Linked DNA regions of Schizosaccharomyces pombe. The protein of the gene in region 1 purifies or fractionates together with the protein of each later gene. This does not show direct contact. Each region holds a gene or a part of one and is shown on either strand. Other genes may lie near its edges. The genes, in order: tti1, tra1, asa1 and tra2.

Region 1 (7,166 bases):
TAACACGGCAGTTACCTTTATCGTCCTCCCATGTGACGCGGAATTCTAAGACACGTTCGGGAATGGAAATGATTGGAAGCACACGCTTCAACTCGGGATGAACTTCAAAGAGCTTGGAGCTCTCGATGGAGCCCACAATCTCCTTGTAGGCTTGTTGAAATTCAGGTTCGTATGGGGTACTCATGGTGGGCCAAAAAAGTAAACAAAATCGAAGGTAGTGATATAGAGTGTATATCTATATAATAATGATAAGTTTAGAGAATTCGAGATATCAAAAAAAGGCGACCTCGAAAACTTTTAACAATACAAATACAGGCTGTACAATCCAAAGTTCTATACAAATCCGTATTCGACGCCTTCAACGCAAAGACTTTCAAAATTTAACTACAATCCAACAAAACTCTTACAACGTGAGTATGTAAGAGATATCGATCCGGGTTCAAAACGCTTACCAGATGTACCAGTGCAGTGTAGCAGGAGGATTCAGGGACGTGCTGGCCATGTCTGCTATATTTATACACTTAACAAGCAATAATCAACAGTCACACCAGATACCTTGTTTTTTGGGAGACCATACGTTTGCTAATGGCTGACGACTTGCAATAAACCTGATGGAAGAGCGATGGCGGAGATAACAGACGAATAGGATGTAAGTATGATGTCAAAATCTCCAATCACAATGCTCCTATATATCTCTTTTCTCTATAATTGGATAGTGGAAAAGAAGATTACTTAAGCGGAAAATTTCCGATCTGATAAGCCAACCCCCTCACAGAATTCCTTCGTCTCCTGCTCAACCAAATAAAGATAAGATAAGCATTGCTTAATGATTGGTCCGTGCAACGGCTATCACCCACCCTACTGAAAATGTGGGGAAAACGCAGCTCCTCCGGGAAAATCCATGGAATTATAGAAGATCCTTAGTGGGATGGGGTGCTTGGGGGGGGGGGAAAGATGTTTTTAGATGAAAAAAAAATGTTTTAGAGAGGTTAATGTTGTAATATAGAAGATTTTCGCTTTCTGTTGATTAACAGTTTCTATAATTTTTTTAAGAAAAAAAATCTGGAAAAGTCCAAGTCCTTTGTTAATCTAATCTCGTTCCAATCTCTCACATCCATTTAAAGGGTCTATTCTTTACTCCTTTCAGTTGCTGCCCCCTTACTGATAACAAGGATAACTAAGGATAGTACCAAAAGAAAAAAACGCTAAATACTGAAATAGGTCGAATCACACTGAAACGGGTAGGTTCTTCCAGGCAGACCAAATCGCAAATACATATCCGAAAATTCGAGTAAACGGCCTTGCCTCGGTTTTACAGTATGGACTAAACATTCGCTCATCCAAACGTATTGCGCCTTAGCAGCCATAGTCATGACTAGCTTTCAATAGAAAAAAGACAAACGAAACAGAGTCATGAAATTCGTAGCGTAGATGTAAGTTAGAAAAATTTCAAATTTCTTTATTTTTTGGTCTTCTGATAACCCACTATCCCACTATCGTTTGTCCATTTATTCCTTGCCCGATCATGTGGCTGTTTGCTTTGAATCTAAAATTGGATAGAAAATAGTTCATTCGAAAGATTAGCGAAACTACGAAACAAGGTGCGATCGTCGTTGTGCTCGGTAGCAAGATGAGTTTGTTTTTTAGTATAATTTAGGTAGCTGCCAGCCTCGTTTCGTCAACTTAGCTAAATTCGTTGAGTCTGACTCATTGAATGTAGGTAAAATGGCTCATCTAAATCGAAACAAGTTGAATCGAGTACAGCCTTAGTCAAATCAAATAATGCCAAGATGAAAAAAGTCGAGCCTTTGCCAATATAATTTTATGCGATGTAATGGAATTCTTTGCCTGATTTTTAGGCTCTTTGTATTTTCTTTTAAAACACGGAAAATTCTAAAACTGGTAACCACTTTTATTATCGTTAAATGATGGAAATCAATGGTTTTTTAGCTCCTTTTTTCGGTTGATTCAAGTGTAACAAATTGTCCAAAGAAGGGAGTGGTTCCTCTTGTGTCTCGGTTTTCCCGCTGCCTTGTTGCCCAAGCAAATCATTGAAAACAGTCTCCGACGTCTTTGCTCCGACAGGTTCCAAAACTTCATGTGTTCGGCGATATGTACGTTGAACACGTTGCTTTCCCGGAATTAACAATTCAGTAGAGAAAGTGTCAATCATTTGAGACCCTCGAACTTCTCTCTCATAATACACTGCGTCGGGATTTTGCTTGGAAAATGCGTTCCAAGTTTCTTCCACCAATGATTCATCCCCCGCATACTTTTGAGACATGTGAGTAATGGCTCGTATGATGGGTGCCGTTATCCCCATAAGCTTCAAATACACTACAATGCTCAATTTGTTAGCCACACATGCTGAAGTTACTTTTAGCATTGCCCTTTGCAAACGATGCTCACTAGAATATGTTCGAGCAACATTGAAAAGATGCCAACGTTGGCACAACGTCTCCAATCGTGGAAGCAAATCTTGGCGAATCCTAGATGTCATAAAATCATCTGCAAGGGCGCAAACTTGATATATAGTTTCTAATGCGCATTCTACTAGCAGTTCGTTATCCGTGTCAAGCTGAATAACGACCAATGGCCAAAATGTATTAATAGCAGGATAAAATGTGTTTGGCTCCTTAGCCAAAACATTGCTTCCATAGCTCAACAATTTTAACATTTCCACTCGTATCGTAATTTGTTCATGTGATAAGAATAACTGCGCCTTTTCCGTGATTTTCCTTACCATATCGACGACATCATCTTTTTGCTTTTCTCCTTGTTCGTCCATAACATTACTATTTATGTTTTCATGATCAACTGTGGTCTCACCCATATTTTCATTTTCTTTGCCCTTCTTTTCTTTTTCCTTCATTGCATGTTCGCGAAACTGTTCATGTCCACTTTTCGTTTCTTGTTGTTCATCGTGTATCATATCCTCTAGTTCATGATCATCTTTTGGAAGAGGATAATTAGGGTTCTCTAATAGTAGTTGAACGAATTCGCGAATCTTTTTACATGGCTTATTTTTATCCTCGTTCATTGCGTCCTCCTCCACCCCGACGATGAGCTTTTTCTCCTCGCCATTTATACTTTCTTGCTTTATTATGGCATAAAGAATTCCAAGCAACCCTTCTGTAAGCCGTGCGTAACCATGGTAAGCATCCAAAATCCCAAAAATAGCATCCACTACATCTCCAATGTACCGAATGCATCCTCCATCGTCATTCTTTATTACATAAGCCATCACAATTGGAAGTTGAGGTGATACGTCTAATGTGTTCAATTTGAGGGCAACTGAGTTGACCACATAGTCAATATTTTCTCTAAGTAACTCTGCTGGCGTCGAGTAGTTGCAATTTGTCGCAATTGCTTGAATACATGCCTCTGCAAACGAAGATACATAAGGAGAAGCAAACGCCAAATGTTCAAGGAGAGGATAAAAATATGCCATTAATTTTGATCGAAACTTTACTCCTTGTAAAGAAGAAATCCAGCTAATGCTGTCAATAGCAATGCAAGAACGAACACACAAAAGATTATACTTTTCCTTTTTCTGCTTATCCTCCAACGATGCTTTCGTAAAGACATTTAATTGCGATAATTGTTGCAATACTTCGAATGAATATTGCTCTAATGAATCAATATACATTTCCAAACTGTCCACCGTTTCTACGTCACTTTTCAAAAGTACCATAAATGCCCAAAATGCACGAACCGAGTTTTCATTTGTTGCTGAGGTAGCCTTAGAAAGTAAGGACTGCATAACATATTTAACATTAGGTGCCTTTGCGAAGCTTGTAACAATCTCTTGTGTTGTTCTTTCCATCTCATTTCCACCAAAAAATTCACCATGGATGTACTCATTCGAAGTACTGGATGTTAAAAGCTTCTGCGAATTGGAATCAATTCCCGATGACTTTGGTACAAGTTGGCTGAGTATACCATCCAGTAAAGGCTCCATGAGCTGCAAAGTCTTAGGAAGATGACTGGATATACTTAAGAGACTTTTCAATCGGTTCAACTCCTCCAATTTATTATCTTCTGAAGCAAAAGTGGAAACACTAGACCATGTAGTAGACCAATCATTTAGGCATTCAGTTAATACTGATTCCATAGTAATATTGTTGAATGATTCAATGAGAGAAACGAGTTTGTTCATCCCATAGTCCCTTAATTTTGGATTTTCTTTTTTATTGATCAATTTTAGCATGCTCTCTAGTAAATGAATCCTACAATCTTTTAGTGAATCTAAACAATCTCTAAATAGGATAAAGCAAAAATCAAATAAAGCATCTTGTACATGTAAGTTTTGTGAAGAACGAAGGTGAAGAATTGCCTTGACGGCATTGCTTAATTGTTGGCAGGTAGCGCGTTTCCAAGACTTTGTACGCTTCGTTGGGCCAAAAAAATGAGAATTAGAAGAAGCATCTTTTTCATCTGGCAAATCTTTTGTGTTATCGTCACTAATAGCTTTCACCACTGTATCACCTAAAATATTCAAAGAGATACACACGTTTTTAAAATACTGACAGGTTCCATTTGGCGCCAGTCCCTTTGTCAATCCCGATACTATGCCAGGAAGAAAAGTAGTAAGAAATTCTGTTGGTAAGCGATATTGCTTTGGGCATATTAGCTTTTGGACGCAACACAATGAGGCAAACTGTAATCTCCGTGAGCTATTTTTATTTGGAATAATATCCAAAGCACTAGAAAGAGCTCTCGCAAAGAGAAGATACTGTCTTTTATCGTGAAAATTAGGCTTAAAATCTGTAATAACGTTCTCAAGCGTTTCGAAAGTAATTTCTCGAACACGAAAATCTTGTTCCACAGTTTCCGAAGGAGATTTCCATCCATCTGCTATATTAAGAAGCATCAATAATAGTTGCATCGTCAACATTTCATTATGAGCTTCCCTCCAACCATGCTTGTAAAGCAAATTCACGCACTGAATGGCATACTCCACTCCTGTACTTGGGACACGATACCAGGACTTTAGTACAGGTACAATTGGAAAAAATATGTAATCGCATAAATTTAGTGGTAAATCGGCGTCTGTATTGGTCAATGCTTTTTCCAGCCCAAAGTACGCATCCTTCAACGAGTTCTTTAACCCATTGGAGTCAACAGATGAAGTTTCAGAAGATAGAGGAAGAGAATAGAAGCTTAACTTTCGAAAAGGATCTCGAATTTGTGCGAAAATACTCTGTATATGAGACATGTAGAGAAACCATGAAGTTATAGAGATGGTAGGTCATATACAAGCAAACCATTTAAAAATGCATACTTTTGCGATTGGAAATGTATATGATATTACAGTATTCTCTAATAAATAATTCAATATTATTCAAATGATTTGAATATTTAATGTCGTGCTAAATTATAGCAAGTGTTTTGACTAGATGCACAGCCAATTCCCAGTCGGTTTTCGTGAGAAACATTGAAAATATTTAGCAAAATGAGTTGCAATGATTTGACTTTGTTCTTAAAAACTTGGAAAGATATATTGCAAAAAGCTGCAAGTTTTAGGGTTACATTCAAGTTCTTACTGATGACCATTACTTTGATCTCAACTAAAATTTTAAATTAAAGAGAGAATTTTTGAAGCTATGCAATTACAATAATAATAACTTCGTAGCCTTTCAGCCTTTTAGCGTATCTGTTTACATTGAATTAAAAACTCGATAGTATTATTTTATATTTTTTAATAAACATTTTAACGTGTGTGTCGAAAGACATATATATAGTATAAATAATTTGTAGCTCAAATTACTTTGCTATGCAGACTAAGACTGGTTTAATGTGTGCAATGGAAGTAGTGGATGTATTCACTCAAATTTATAAGGGTATAACCTTTTTACTAGTCTAGTTTTGTAGTTTCAAGCTTCTAGTCCTCTATAGTCCTTAAAAAAGTCGTTAAGTTCATAAAGACGATACAACTTAAGAGGTAGCCAACTCATAAGAGATTTTCTGCTACATACCTTTAACAAGCGAGGAACACAGTAATTTCTGAATTTCTATTTGTAGTCAAAAATCACTGAATTATCAGTTTGTTTCAAAAACGAGAGGATTGTTTAAACTAATTTGCATTTTCTTAAACCAAACTTATTGTAACTTGAATAATCTCTTTAATCTATTTATTTTGAAGGTCAATGAACTCTTAGACAGATATGAAAATTGCTCAAAATAATACCGTAAGCTTTCCAAGAAACTAGATGCTGGTATTTTAAACAGTATGGATCAAAAACAAGAAAAAGTTGAAACTCATAAATGCATTCAACTGCACGACATATTTATTTCCTTCATGTTTTGATTTTATATACTTGGAATACGTTTCACCAGATCTTTAACGTTTTCTTACGCACTTCCATAAAATCTCACACCATGGTGAGACATGAAAATAACGAAATTTCAAAGTCACTTAGAACAAACTACAATTAATGAGTTGGTTGTTTAAATAATCTAATAAAAAATGTCGTATAAATTAGACCAACTCACTCGTCTTCCTGAAAACAAGAAATGTTTTGATTGTGATGCTCCAAATCCACAATGGGCATCTTGTAATTTGGGAATCTTCATTTGTTTGGATTGCAGTGGACAGCATCGTGGTTTGGGAGTCGAAAAGAGCTTTGTCCGCAGTATTACCATGGACAATTGGAGTGAACGTCAAGTGAAGATGATGGAGGTAAGCATCAGGATTGATACGGGCTATTGGAGTTTGTTGGTTATTTTACCAAAAAAAAAACATATATATATAATAATTCATTTGGCTGAGAGGGTAGCGCTATTGATCTGCGAGTTTGCTTGCCGCTATTTCGAATTTTTTCCAAGTCATTTAGTGCCTTTTTTTGACAAGAATAATGTTTAATGTTAAAAACAAGTACATGACGCGCAATTGATTATCACCTGAAGTTATAAAATGCAAGCTCACTATAATTTCATCAATGACTTGAAACAACATATATAGCCCACATTTGTTGCATGCTCCTGACTAACTTCTATACAGGTTGGTGGAAATTCTAATGCTAAAACATTCTTGTCTACAGACCCGATGTTTTCTGCTGCCGGAAGTATTCGTGAAAAAGTATGATCTTTGAACCTTCTATATTTTTTCCAGTTTACCTTATTTTGATTTTATTCACATTGACTAACACATTTTAAGTACAATA
Region 2 (5,033 bases), on another chromosome or scaffold:
ACAATAGATCTTTGCAGATAATAAGATTCATCTTTGTCAGGGCACAACCTACCATTAGAGACTTGCTGTAAGTTTTTATCCATGCGATCTACAACTGCTCGGCACATTGTATCAATAGATTCCCAAAAGTCTTCATCGGGCTTCGCAGACGCAAAGAGTAATAAATACGAATTCTTGACCATTTGAAATGCTTGCTTCTTTTCTTCTAAATCGGAATTTTGATTGTTTAAAACAGCACATGAAGACATTAAAAATTTGGAGTGCTCTAAGCTAAAATTCTGAGAGGAGCCTTGGAAAGAAAACTGGATTGAAGGAAAAATATTTTCATCTTGCAAAAAATCAAAGCCAAAGGTACCAAGATATATTTGTCTATTTCGACCACCCATTTTTCCTAATATTCTCACAGCACTTTGATGCAATTGATTATTGGATTGATTAAGGCGTGAATGATTCCACAGGCATATCAGCAAATCCGGCATAATTGAGTCCAATAAAGGATCCAAAAATTCTTGAGTAAGATTATCCAAGCAAAGTTCAAATATTCGAAGCCCTTGACTAGCTATTTCAGGGGGGCCTTTTAATGCAACAATCAATGGCTTCATTAAAAAATTCATATGAGGCAACAACACACTGAGTCTAATGGGTAAAGTCAAACAAAGTTCCGCATACAGCTCTTTTTGGGATGTAGACGTAACAGTAAAAATCAATCTGTTGAAACATTCTAGCATTACTTGGAGAAGTGGTAGTATTTCCTTGTAAAGAGAATCAAATTTTCCTCCACTGATATTTCTAAACAAAGCTTTCATTAAATAAACGTAATTTAAAGGTTCAACAGCATCAGTAGTCAATTCGAGGCTAGTTGAAATGATATAGGATATATGGGGACGCAGGACTTCTGCATTTTTTTCGGGAAAAACATTCACAGTCATAAAGGCCAACTTGAATAATCGCAATAAAACAGAAACCCGAGTGGATTGGCCAGACCCTATTTTAGCTAGATTGTCACAGCAAAAAGACAGCACGATGCCCGTGCAGTTGACAGAAGTAACTTCATTAGACATCCAAAATTGGAAAATATGCAATAAAGCAAGATTATCTACTAGACACTCAAATATATTCGGAAACTCGGATTCCAAAATTTCGACGAAAACAGATGGGTCCAAGTGTAAAAATAAAGTTGCTAACATTTCTAAGAGCTCCTTCTCTTCTAAGAGTTTAGAAGGGTTTGTGGTCAACGAAGAATCAAGTTGAGAGTATGCAAGATTTTTCGAGGACTTGAATACACCGGTTTTTTCATCTGTCTGGTAATAACTGAATCCCTTTAAACTTTCCACAAGTAATCTTCGAAACAGTAAAACTTCATTAGTTGAACTAAGATGTAACTTTTCAGACCATTCCTGAGCTGTAAAAATGGAACCGTTGGCAAGAGGAATATTTCGTTGCTTTAGTCCAAACAAAACAGGCTTAATACCTAATAAGGTGTTTTTAAAAAGAAATATGCAATCTTTTAGCTTATCCAAACCTGAAGGTTGGGCAGCTCCAGTAGGGTTCTCAAACATAGGAAGATCATGTTTATTTTCTTCTATTTTAATTTGCTTTAAGTCAGCATTTTCCTGTAAAGAATCTCTCAGCTTCATAAACTCGAAATTCAGAGAAGTCAATTTTCTTAAGAGACATAAAAGTATAGCAAATAGAAGTGATCGGCTAGTGGAAAAATCTTCTAGTGCAACAATTCTTTCAACCAAGTTTAAAATAAGCTTTGTAGCCATTGCCTGAATAGCTGAAGTATAAAAGTCGTCCATCAAAATACTGAAATAAAGAAGTATGACTTTGTAAATTTGTTGTGGACTTAATTCCATACGCACATAATGAAGCATATCTGCCAGCATGCTAAAAGCCATGGGTCGTAATGAATGCTGAGAAGTGATTCCAGAACCAACTAGAATTTTGGTATCAAGTAGTTGATCTACATACGGTAGAAACCCTCTCAAATAATCCGTCGATAAGACGTGCCTTGTAGCTACCAAAAGTTCTCTTCGAGTCTGATATAATTCGGAAGGACAGTCCATGAACAATTGCAAGGTACATATTGGGATCGAGCTTTCAAACTGTTTAAGAGCAGCACCAAAACTTCTCAATAAATAGGCGAGAAAAGAGAATGATTTAATTTGCGCAGAAATAAGGTCATTGTAAAGATGATTTCGACGCAAAGAAGGGACTACACCAATAAAAACCTCTTTTTGAGATTCTGCAAGTCGACGAGCTTCGGCTTGAGGTGGAGGACGAAGTGAGATAAATTGAAGTACAAGCGGAGCAAGTAAAGGAAGCATTTTCGGAATAAGATCTTTGTATGTTTGAAATAGGAGAAAGACGATAATGGGAAATTCAGCAGTGACCTTGAAACTCGAAGAAGCTTTTGGGATCATTTTTGGACCTGCATGTTCCATTCCAATTTCAGCAGGAGATGCAGAAGATGCAGCAGACATGGGATGAGAGGATGGAGTATTCGGAGCTGATCTAGGTGGGAAAGCTTCTGAAACAACTGTGGTCATGGATTTGTAGTTTTCAACGACAATGGATAAAAATTCCTGAACATGTCCCTTAGCAAGGCTACTGTGGTCCTTAAAAAGAAGGACAACAAGCTTCAATGCCAACACTGCCATCTCTTCATTATCATTAACGACTATACGAAGAAGCACGGCAAAAGTCCGATTAACGAATGCTTCAAAACCTTTATAGGATCCAGATTTCTTGAGCAATTCAAGCAATGCAATGCGTAAACGATGTGTAGCTGCTAACGATGAAAATACAGGACGTTCCTTTTCAAGCAAAGACAACGTGTCCTCCAAAAGAGGAATGAAAGTTTCAAAATTCGTCTTTTCAGTTACCAACACATCATCCAGTGCATCTCGAATTTCAATTGCTGTGTTTGCCTTTTGCTTCGAGTCTAATCCAACATCACAAAGCCGATTATGCCAATGTTCGCATTGTGATACATCCATCAGATGCTTGGATCTCTGCGCAAGCTCTTTTTTAAATTCCAATTGCACTCGGATACGTTTTCCTAAGTATTTAACAATTACTATTGGAATGTTGTGGGATAGAGCAAGCTGCATTTCTTTCCTCTAAATCACTTTATGAATTTTACATGTTTTCGCTATTTTAATTAACGGCCTTATTATTTTGTGCGGTAGAAGTTGCTAAAATGATGAACGAGATAAAAATAGCGAGTGATACCACAAAAGTTCGTTTAGCCTCAGCTGCATAATTTGTCGTAAACAAACCATTCATTCATTAATCTGTTCATTACCATTTTTAGGCTACCTTTTAGTCAGTGATCTTTAATATATCTTACCGATTAGTAAGTTAATTGATTTCCAAAATGAGTAAAGCTATGGCGTTGCGACGGTTAATGAAGGAGTATAAGGAGTTAACGGAGAATGGGCCTGATGGTATTACTGCAGGTCCATCGAATGAGGATGATTTCTTTACTTGGGATTGCCTAATTCAAGGCCCTGATGGAACTCCATTTGAAGGTGGGTTATACCCTGCTACCTTGAAATTTCCTTCCGTAAGTCCTTTACTATAAACCTGATGGAGACTGAACATGTGATTTAAGTTGTGGATAAGTATGATGTTTCGCATGTTTTATGTATCAACTACTTATTAAAAAATACGCGCTCTTTTTCATAAATTAACATTTGTTCAGCGTAAATAAAGAAAGTAACTCAATAATCCATTCGTTTAGAATGATCATTTAAGAGAAGTGCTTTTATTCATTAGTAATTGATGAATCCTTCGATTTATTGATGAGTAGGAAGAAATTTTATTTAAAAGATCTATCTAAGTTTTTTTTTGGGGGTTTGGTTTCTTTCTTTGAATCGCATGGCAGTACATCCGGGGTGTTCAAGCGCACGTTGATACGTGCTTAGTTTTATTTTTATTGGATTCTAACTTTTTTATGTAGGATTATCCTCTTGGCCCCCCTACTTTAAAGTTTGAGTGTGAATTTTTCCATCCAAATGGTATGCCAGATACTATTAATCCAAATTTCGAGACTAACCTTCATTTCAGTTTACAAAGATGGGACGGTTTGCATTTCCATCCTACATGCACCTGGTGACGATCCAAATATGTATGAGTCGTCTTCAGAACGTTGGTCTCCTGTTCAATCTGTTGAAAAAATACTGTTATCGGTAATGTCGATGTTGGCGGAACCAAACGATGAAAGTGGTGCTAACATCGATGCGTGCAAGATGTGGAGAGAAGATCGAGAAGAATATTGTCGTGTAGTTCGACGATTGGCTCGTAAAACCTTGGGATTATAACCATGAATTGTATATTTGATTAGATTGCCATGAATAACGAACCTGATAAAATCTAGAAATAAAGTTTTGTTCCATTTTTGAACGCAACCGGTAGGCTTTTCTCTTTCTATTCCAACGTATAACGCTACATAGGTTTAATTACAAGGTTTAAACAAAAATGAAAGCACTTTTCCAATTCAATTTCTATCTGTAAATGATGGAAGATAAACATTTTGTCTATTGAGATAATCCATCTTTTAATAAACATCACTTGAACTTTCTACACAGATACATGGCAACGTACATCGCTGAAAACGAATTATATTGAGAAAACATCTAGAAATTACACAGTAAAAAACTTAACAAAATATAAGAATAACCCCAAATTATGCTCCAAAAGAAAAAAAAAATGCATCAGGTGCATAAAAATATTAGCTTCCCACAACCTACAAAAGAAAGAGGTAAATTTTTTTACAAAATAAAAATCAGAAATTATCAAATAAAACGATCATATTCCATCTTCCAATTTTTCTTCATCACCAGTGTTTTCTTCACTACCTTTAGCAATCTCAAAATCCAGAAAAAGGTCCATTACTTTTTGCTGATTTCGAATATCAGCTTCATATATAGGTGACTTCTCATAAATATTCTTAATATGAGGATCACCTCCCGCTTCCAGTAGTAATTTGCAAATTTCAGCATGTCCATTCAGTGCTGCCCAATGCA
Region 3 (3,958 bases), on another chromosome or scaffold:
ACATTTCCATTGTTTTGTTTTTCTTTGTTGCATTTTTTCTTTTGCAAAGCTTTATATTTGTATCCATTACTTGAAATCTTGTTGGTTTCTAAATTCCTTTCTTTTTTTCCGAATTCATTTTTTCAAAGACACTACGCGGTTGCTTGAAGCTGAAAGAGTTTGCTAATTGCTTATTTCAATCTGCTTTTTGAATTACTCTTGATTAAAGTACAAGTCTTCACTTTTTTTTTCGTGTGAGCGTGTGTGTAGAATTCTTCTTGTTCTCAATTTTTGTATCATGAGAGTTTCTTGGATTAGCGGTCTCTTATTAGTGGCGCACCTGGCTCCTTCCAGCGCCTTCAACCCTTTAAGGTTTTTCCTGGATGACACCTTTTCAAGCGGTGCTACTGAGGAACATTTTATGGGCCCCTCTGATGATGGTTTTGCGCTTCAGCAGCCCACCAATTATGATCCTTCTATGCCATTTCCTTTAGATGAATCGGCATCAGCCGCTGTGGATGCTGTGTCTAATAATTACATTGTCATGTTTAAACCTTCTGTTGACAAATCGAAGCTTGAGCAACATCATCGTTGGATTGAGCATTTACACGAGAAACGATCCTTAGATTTTAAGGATGTATCTACCTTTTTAATGAAGCATACCTTTGAAATTGGAGACGCTTTTCTTGGTTATGCTGGTCGTTTTTCTCCTTGGTTGGTGGCCGAGTTGCAAAAGCACCCCGACATTGCCCTTGTTGAACCTGACCGTGTTATGCATGTTATGACTGAACAAACTTTTGCACCTTGGGGTTTGGCTCGTGTATCTCATCGTAAAAAACTCGGTTTTTTTACCATGACTCGTTACCAATACAATGAGACTGCCGGTGAAGGTGTTACTGCATACGTTATCGATACTGGTATCAACATTGAGCACCAAGATTTTCAAGGCCGTGCCACTTGGGGTGCCACCATTCCCACTGGAGAAGGCGAAGTGGATGATCATGGTCATGGCACTCACGTTGCTGGTACCATTGCAGGAAAAACCTTTGGTGTATCTAAGAATGCCAAACTTGTTGCCGTTAAGGTAATGCGAGCCGATGGTACTGGTACCGTATCAGATATTATTAAAGGTATCGAGTTTGCCTTTAAGCAATCTAAGAAAGACAAGGAATCAATTGCAAGTGTCGTCAATATGTCCATCGGCGGTGATGCAAGTACTGCTCTTGATCTGGCTGTGAATGCCGCTATTGCCGGTGGACTTTTCTTTGCCGTTGCTGCTGGTAATGATGCAGAGGATGCTTGCGGTACCTCTCCAGCCAGAGTTTCCAATGCAATGACTGTTGGTGCTTCTACTTGGAACGATCAAATTGCTTCTTTTAGCAATATTGGATCTTGCGTTGATATCTTTGCTCCTGGTTCTTTAATTTTGTCTGATTGGATTGGATCTAACAGGGCTTCTATGATCCTTTCTGGTACTTCTATGGCTTCTCCTCATGTCGCCGGTTTGGCTGCTTATTTTATCTCTCTCGATCCTTCGCTGGCTAATCATCCTGTGGAGTTGAAGAAGTATATGCTGAAGTTTGCCCTAAAAGACTTATTAAATGGCATTCCTGAGGACACACCTAATGTCCTTGCCTTCAACAATTATGAGTAAACGCTAGTTATGTGTATGTAAATGTTAGCTTGATGACCTTGATTGTTTATTTTTTGATGCTCCGATACGAATGATCAATTAACCAAGTTGTTGAATATCTACTGTCATCAGACGAACAAGCTCAGAGTAATGACATTTGTTATGTTTAGCAATGAAATCATTTAAAACGATACCAATTTGTTCTTTTAGGACTGATTTTTTTTTGTAATGTCAGGTATAGTAGAATTTTATTTCATTTTCTTATCTACTACTTTTTGCACTATTGTTATCGTTCATTCGTACTAGTAGTAAATATGTAGTTTGACAAGTATGGTATATCACTTGGTAAAAAAAAATGCCTTCTGGATTCACCGTTATAATTTTGTCTTATACCGCTTATTAAAATTGATTCCCTTACCACCAACAATTCGTTTTACAGTTCAATTTGTATTGTTCCCCTATCCTCTCAGCTTGATGATTACAAATATTTGCTCAAAGTGGATGCTTTAATTTAAATTTTCATGGTAGTTCCTACTCCATTTTACGTTTTACGTGGTCATTCTAGCAGTGTCACTAGTGTACTTTTTGACGCTAATGAATACTTATATTCTGGTGATGAGGCAGGTTTTGTAATTTGTTGGTGTCTTACTAGTATGCGACCAAAATGCGCCTGGAGAGCTCATACAAAAACCATATTGGGCATGCAAATAGTCAAGGGAGGAGCCTTATGCACTCACGGTAGAGACTGTCGTCTCGTCACTTGGAAAATCGATTTTAATTGCATGACCGACAATTTTATGTCATTATCAAAACTAGCTGAACTTCAAAATTACGGTCCTGAAGCCTCTTCTGAAACTGAGAAGAGCAGCGCATTTATATCTATTCATTCCAATATCGTTGTTAATTCCCTAACCTTTTGCCCCTTCTCTTACTCTCCTCAATCTAAAATAGTAGTTTTATGCAATACATTGAACTTTGAAGAGCTTGATGTATATGATGATGAATCATTGTATCATCCTCAAACACACAAAGAGGATTGCGGAAAAAGACTACAGACGAGAATTCAGCCAGAAGAGTCTGTTGGTAAAACAGGATCAGTAATGTCAACCTCAGTAACCGTTACTGACGAGAAGTATGTACTATTAGCTGCCGGTTACGAAAGCGGTCATGTGGTTCAGTACATATGTTCATTAGAAAATGTAAAGACTGTTACCCTCGATTTTAAAGCTGTTTGGAAGATGGTTTACGCCTACAAAAGTCATTCTCAACCAGTTTTATCGGTAGAGTACGCTGGTTCCAAATTATTTTCAACGGGTGCTGATGACTGTATATGTCTGCATCCTACTCCTTCATCTATAGCTGATGATCTTGGTAGTCTGCCTCATCCTATATTTAGAAAGACAAAGCATTGTGGACAACAAAATATTCGTATACGAAGTGATAACAAGATATTAGCAACTGCAGGATGGGATGGTCGAGGTCGTGTTTACAGCTGCCAGACATTAGCTCCTTTAGCGGTTTTGAAATATCACTCCGATGGTATTAATAGTTTGGCCTTTCATCCAGGCAGCAACGTGATTGCGTTAGCTAGTAAAGACACCAGAATATCTCTCTGGAAGTTGTATTAGGGCAAAAGTTTAGGACATTACAGTTACGTTTAATCCATCATCATTTTCAAGAAATCATTTACTTTTGGTTTGCAGGATTCAATTCATTCTTATTACAATACGCGCATTTTTATCAATAACCATTGAAATGATTTTAAACGTATTACATATATTAAATATATTAAATATCAGACTAGTAAATGCTTAATCTTCCAGTATTTTGATATCGCCTCAAATAAGATGAGCGATTCATATGCAAGCATAGAAAGTACGAAAGACATAATTCTAACCTGAGCTATATTAAGTAGTGACATTAGTTTTATAACGGCAAAGAGCCATTGTTTATGTATAGTGATGTTTATAGTACAAGGACGTAATTTTGACGGTCAAAATTTTTACAGTTAGTTTGATGTTGCTTGGCAGTTTCAATCTAAATGGAAACCTTTGCAACAGGAATTGTCATTCTCTCCGACTTCCAAAGATTATGATATTCGACGATTCGAGTAGCAACATCGACGAAATCGGTGTTCTCATCGGTATTTTTCATGACTATATCTAAACCGGATTTATAAGACTCTTTCTCAATTTCATCATTTCCTTCGATGTACCTTGATAAATCTTGTATAATTTCATCATCTGTATAAAGGTTAGTCAAAAATCAACAGCACAAATACCATAACCCGTCATTTTAATGTCGCGAAAATGCGACGCCTCGCAATGGTCATCATTACAAACACCA
Region 4 (4,704 bases), on another chromosome or scaffold:
TGTCTGCAGTACATCGAATGGATGAGGCTAAGCTGTTAGTAGCGTCACTCTTATAAACATAGAGCTTTGAAATATTGCAAACATAAGTGAACGCTTGTTGCTTAACCTCCAGATCACTAGAAGGGCTAGAAAGCAAATTCACAGCCTCATCAACATATTGGGTGTAATGTAAAAGTTGTGGTTGTTTAACCCCTTTTATCGAAAGAAGTAAAGTAAAATCGTTATTCGGTTCCGGCGAATTCTTTAAACTCTGGACTCTATCAAGAAGCTTCCTATTTCTTCCACCAAGTTTACCAAGTATTTTCAAGGCAGTATGGCTGTGATTATAATTATAAGGAAGAGGTTGTAGATGACTCCATAAAGCATTCATTAGATCTTCTATGTAAGGAGCCATTATCGGATCCAAAAAATCAGGAGTGAGATTATCCAAGCATAATTCAAAGGTTCGTAATCCCTGACTAACTAATTCTTGACTGCTTTTTAAAGACATGACGAGAGGTCTCATTAGATAACTCATGTATGGTAATAAAAGACTAAGCCTTACAGGAATAGTAAGACAAAGTTCGGTAAAAAGGTCTTTCTCCTTCGGAGTACGGGCAGATATAAGCAATGAATTAAATGCCTCTAATAGAGCGTGCAACAAAGGCATTACTTCTTTATAAAGGCTTTCAAATCTTCCCCCACCAATTCCTCGGAACAACGCTCTTAATAGATAATAGTAGTTCAATGAATTAGCAGAATTGGGAGCCAACTTCATACATTTCACAATAATTTCAGATACATAAGGCCGAAGAACTGGCTCATTCTCTGTTGCAAACATTGAGACTGTAACGAAAGAAAGACGAAACAAACGCAACAAGACAGAACCATGCCTGATGTCAGAAGATCCGAGTTCCTCAATTCTGGAAAGCAGAAATCGAAGTAAAATATTTAAAAATTTTGATGATGTGCTCTCATTTGAAAGCAAAAACTGTGGAATGTGAAATAATGTGAGATTTTTTTTAAGTTGATCAAAAAAAGTAGGAAGGTTTGTTTCAAAAACTTTAAGAAATATAGATGGCTCGAGATGTATAAAAATGGTAGCAAATACTTCAAGACAATCTTTCTCGTCTTTGTTACGAGGAAGCGTAGATATAGCAGGGCGATCTAAACTTTCTTCTTCGCAGCAGAAAAAAGTTTCTAAATAGACTTGCTCAGGTCGAAAATATGAGAATCCTTTGCCAACCTCAAAAAAAAGCTTCTGAAACGTAACAGCTTCGAAAGGCTTGATATTCGTAAGGAATCCCGAAAATTGTTCACCTCCAATTTCTATGCATCGAGACTTGCATGTACGAAGCCCATACATAAGAGCCCGTAAGCCAAACATCAAGTTTTTAAAAAGAAATGATCCATCATTGACGGAAGTGCTAAATGAAGATAAATCCCTAGGAGAAGAACGCGTCGGTGACTTTGTCTCTTTAATTTCTTCTTCATACTTTTTCTTAAAAAACTGATCCAAACTATCATTAAGTTCCGAAAACTTATTTACAAAGCTATCAAAAATAGATAAAAGAAGAAATATAGCATCGGGGATGCTAGGAAGACTAATCATTCTGTCAACCATGTTTAAAATGAGCCGGGCACCCATAGTCTGTAACCCAATGCTAAGAGTCAAATCATGCATATTGGTCGAATAAATCATTATAGATTTTCTTATTTGCGTTTCGTTAAGTTCGTCACGTACATGATGAAGTAAGTCAGCTAATGTACTAAATGCCAAGGGACGTAACAGCTTTTGAGTACCAACTCCATTTCCTAATAATATATTTAAATCTAACAAAAAATCCAGCTTTTTGACAAAAAGAGATTTTAAGTTTGTTGACAGAATATGTCTCGTAGCAACCAGCAGTTCTTTACGGGCAAAACACATATCAAAAGGGCATCGCCTCAAAAGCTTTATTACAATGTCCGGTATTATATCCTTCTCAGAAAGTGTATTGGGATGAGTTCGTAAAATATAAGCCAAGAAAGATAAAGTCTTTACTTGAGCCATAAAAAAATTACGGTACTGATATTTATTCCTTATAAACTCAATAAAGTCAATGCTTGAATCTTTTTCAATCATTGCATATGAAGCGATGTCTATTGGAACATCAATTTGTACCATCTTAAGAAAACAGGGAATTATGGCTTGAACACCAGGGAAAGCAGCTTGACGATATGCTTGAAGAATCAAAACTATAATGACCGGACACTCTACATACACGCGGAAACTTTGAGAAGCCAGTTCCAAAGGTTGAGTAGAAATAGCTAAAGAATTGACACGCTGTTGGATGATTGAAGTTTCCGTAGACAGATAACTACCAAAAGCCAGGGTTGTATTTTCCTCTTCATTTGATTTTGGATTCTCGACAAATATTGAGGGAATTAAATAAGGAAGGTTTGTAGAAAGCTCAAGTACCAAGTCAAAAAAGGGTTGTGCAGTGCTTTCTATACAAAACTTAAAAGTTTTGAATATATCCATAATAACTTTTAAGCAAAAAACAGCGACTTCTTCATTATCTGCTTTAATCAAGCTAATGAACGAAAGCACACAAGACTGCGCATATTGTTTAAATTCATCACGGTGAGCGCAACTTTGTATTAAAGTCAATGCTTCGATCTTGAGTTCATTGACAGAAGAATTTCTATAAAGATTCACCTCTGTATTTCGTAAAAAATCCAAGAGTAGTGGAATTAATTCTGCATACAGCTGCGAGGCGTCTGAAGATATGCTAGAAACCTTAGTAATTAAAATTTTAGTTAGTTTGATTTTTTCTTCTATTTCTTAAAAAAAGTTAGTATAAAATAAAAAAATGAATCAAAATATCTACAAAAATTTATATACCTGTACTTTCAGCTTTCAGTAGCTCTATAGAGCTGCTGAGCGACTTTTCAAAACCGTCTTCCATAACAAAGTTCGGTCCATGCAGATACTTTTTAATAAATCTTTGAAACCAAACTTGATACACTACGAGATTTTGGACACAGCTGTAAAAAAGCACAGAACGATTACTGTCAGATGTTGTTTAGTTGTTGCTATGTTCAAGGTGAATCGTATAGTGAGGACGCAAAACTGCACTATTCAAGAAGCCACTGAAGCTATTTGAAATCGACGTGAGTGTAATTTTTATCAAATACAATATAATACTGCTTTATAAACTATGACATGTTTGTACGATATAGAAGGTTTTTAAGAAGGAAAATATTATACAGATTTTATCATGCAGTTATCGGGTTTTTCTACAAACGGTTCCGGTTCCTTGAATACCATTGTATGTGAAAAACTTCTTTTCAAGCCTAACTTTGTTCAAGATTCTTTTATAATAGGAATGACTATTTTATGTTCAGTAATATTGTATGGGTCGGGAAATTTGCGCTACATAGATGCTTTGTTGTTGGCTTCTGGTTCTTGTACTCAGACTGGCTTGCAGCCTGTGGACCTCACGCAGATATCCATTTACCAACAGGTATGCATATTTTTAAATAAATTTTTTAACTATTTTTTAGTTAACTATTCTCCTTTTTGGAGTTTTGAGTACACCAATTACTGTGAACCTGGGCTTGACTTTGTTTAAGCTGTACTTCTATAACAAGCGATATGACATGGTCATAACAAATAATAAACTTAGGATGACATATACTTATCACACTGTAAGAAGAAGGGATACTCCAGAGCCTTCCAAAGTTGGCAATCGAAAAATTCGGGTTTTGTTAGACCAGGGTAATCAAATGCACCGGCCAGTTGCCCCAGAGACTAAGGCTGAGGAAGCTGAACACCAAGAGAATGAAAAACATCACAGGCACCATTTTCGTCTAAGGAAATTTGCTAATGCAATCGATCGCCCAAGCTTCTTTCGCGGGAATACCATGCCCGCTCTCCCTAGTTATGCAGGTGTTAGAAATTCTCAAGAAAATGAAGACAGAACTGAAGCATTAAGTCCAGCTCTTGGGAAACGAAGAATGGCATCAATCGACAATGGATCTTTATCCGTTGTACAAAACAATGCTAGAAATAATCCTGTCGACTTTTACATTCCTAGTTCGTTTGAAGAATCATCTTTTCAAACAATTCCTGAGGATTTTGAGCCTCAAGTACATGACCACGAGAATCAAACACAACTGAACCATCATCTGGATAACAACAGTTCTATCTCTTCGCACAATCCTTCCCTAGAAACTGCAAATGATGGTAATCAGGAAACTGTTTCATCCTCAAACTCAAACTACAGCACAACAAGAGTTGACAATGATCCACATGTAGCATCTTATTCACCTCAAAATTCGAATTTTGATCATCAGGCTGCTGCAACTACTAACGATGCACATCAAAATGTAGTACGCGGCTCTGCAATTACCATTGCACCAACCCCTGTTCCCAGGCATAATCGCAGGCCTATATATTTTGCTGGTAAGTCATTCCGTGATTTTAATATTGACCTTTAGATGACACGAATGGAGCTGAGCAGGAAAAAGGTGCTCATCGACTTGATGGACGAGGTAGAAAACGTGGTAAATCATTTGCTGTTACACCTACACTTCACAGGAATGAGCGCTCAATGTCTGTCCTACCATTTCAATTAGCCAAATCATTTACATCTGCTCTTCCTCGAAGACTCACATTCAACCGTACTCACACGAAAGCTAGCACAATGAGTTTACCTTATTTATCGTACAATGCAACAG

What was found.
Region 2: the proteins of tti1 (region 1) and tra1 purify together in Schizosaccharomyces pombe (affinity purification with mass spectrometry; 3 studies listed by BioGRID). This does not show direct contact.
Region 3: the proteins of tti1 (region 1) and asa1 purify together in Schizosaccharomyces pombe (affinity purification with mass spectrometry, with the first as the bait; 2 studies listed by BioGRID). This does not show direct contact.
Region 4: the proteins of tti1 (region 1) and tra2 purify together in Schizosaccharomyces pombe (affinity purification with mass spectrometry, with the first as the bait; 2 studies listed by BioGRID). This does not show direct contact.

What each region holds. Positions count from the first base shown.
Region 1 is NC_003421.2:1,420,629-1,427,794, forward strand, and holds tti1 (TTT co-chaperone complex, armadillo-type fold subunit Tti1), read right to left. Parts: upstream 5,240-7,166; 5' UTR 5,219-5,239; coding exon 1,922-5,218; 3' UTR 518-1,921; downstream 1-517. Other genes in the region: NADP-specific glutamate dehydrogenase Gdh1, read right to left, coding at 1-184; SPOM_SPCC622.14 (GTPase-activating protein), read left to right, coding at 6,470-6,682, 7,004-7,081, 7,160-7,166. UniProt on the Schizosaccharomyces pombe protein: Component of the TORC1 and TORC2 complexes required for the regulation of the cellular respons to changes in available nutrients.
Region 2 is NC_003423.3:1,902,417-1,907,449, forward strand, and holds the start of tra1 (SAGA complex, phosphatidylinositol pseudokinase subunit Tra1), read right to left. Parts: upstream 3,003-5,033; coding exon 1-3,002. Other genes in the region: ubiquitin-conjugating enzyme Ubc7, read left to right, coding at 3,383-3,571, 3,968-4,025, 4,075-4,328; ribosome biogenesis protein Yar1, read right to left, coding at 4,816-5,033. UniProt on the Schizosaccharomyces pombe protein: Essential scaffold subunit of the transcription coactivator SAGA complex. SAGA acts as a general cofactor required for essentially all RNA polymerase II transcription.
Region 3 is NC_003424.3:5,067,563-5,071,520, forward strand, and holds asa1 (ASTRA-associated protein 1 Asa1), read left to right. Parts: upstream 1-2,029; 5' UTR 2,030-2,133; coding exon 2,134-3,240; 3' UTR 3,241-3,436; downstream 3,437-3,958. Other genes in the region: serine protease Psp3, read left to right, coding at 278-1,633; protein Red1, read right to left, coding at 3,650-3,855, 3,900-3,958. UniProt on the Schizosaccharomyces pombe protein: Component of the ASTRA complex probably involved in chromatin remodeling.
Region 4 is NC_003424.3:257,945-262,648, reverse strand, and holds the start of tra2 (phosphatidylinositol kinase-like protein Tra2), read right to left. Parts: upstream 3,039-4,704; 5' UTR 2,931-3,038; coding exon 2,867-2,930; intron 2,806-2,866; coding exon 1-2,805. Other genes in the region: plasma membrane potassium ion transmembrane transporter Trk2, read left to right, coding at 3,188-3,293, 3,334-3,488, 3,529-4,429, 4,465-4,704.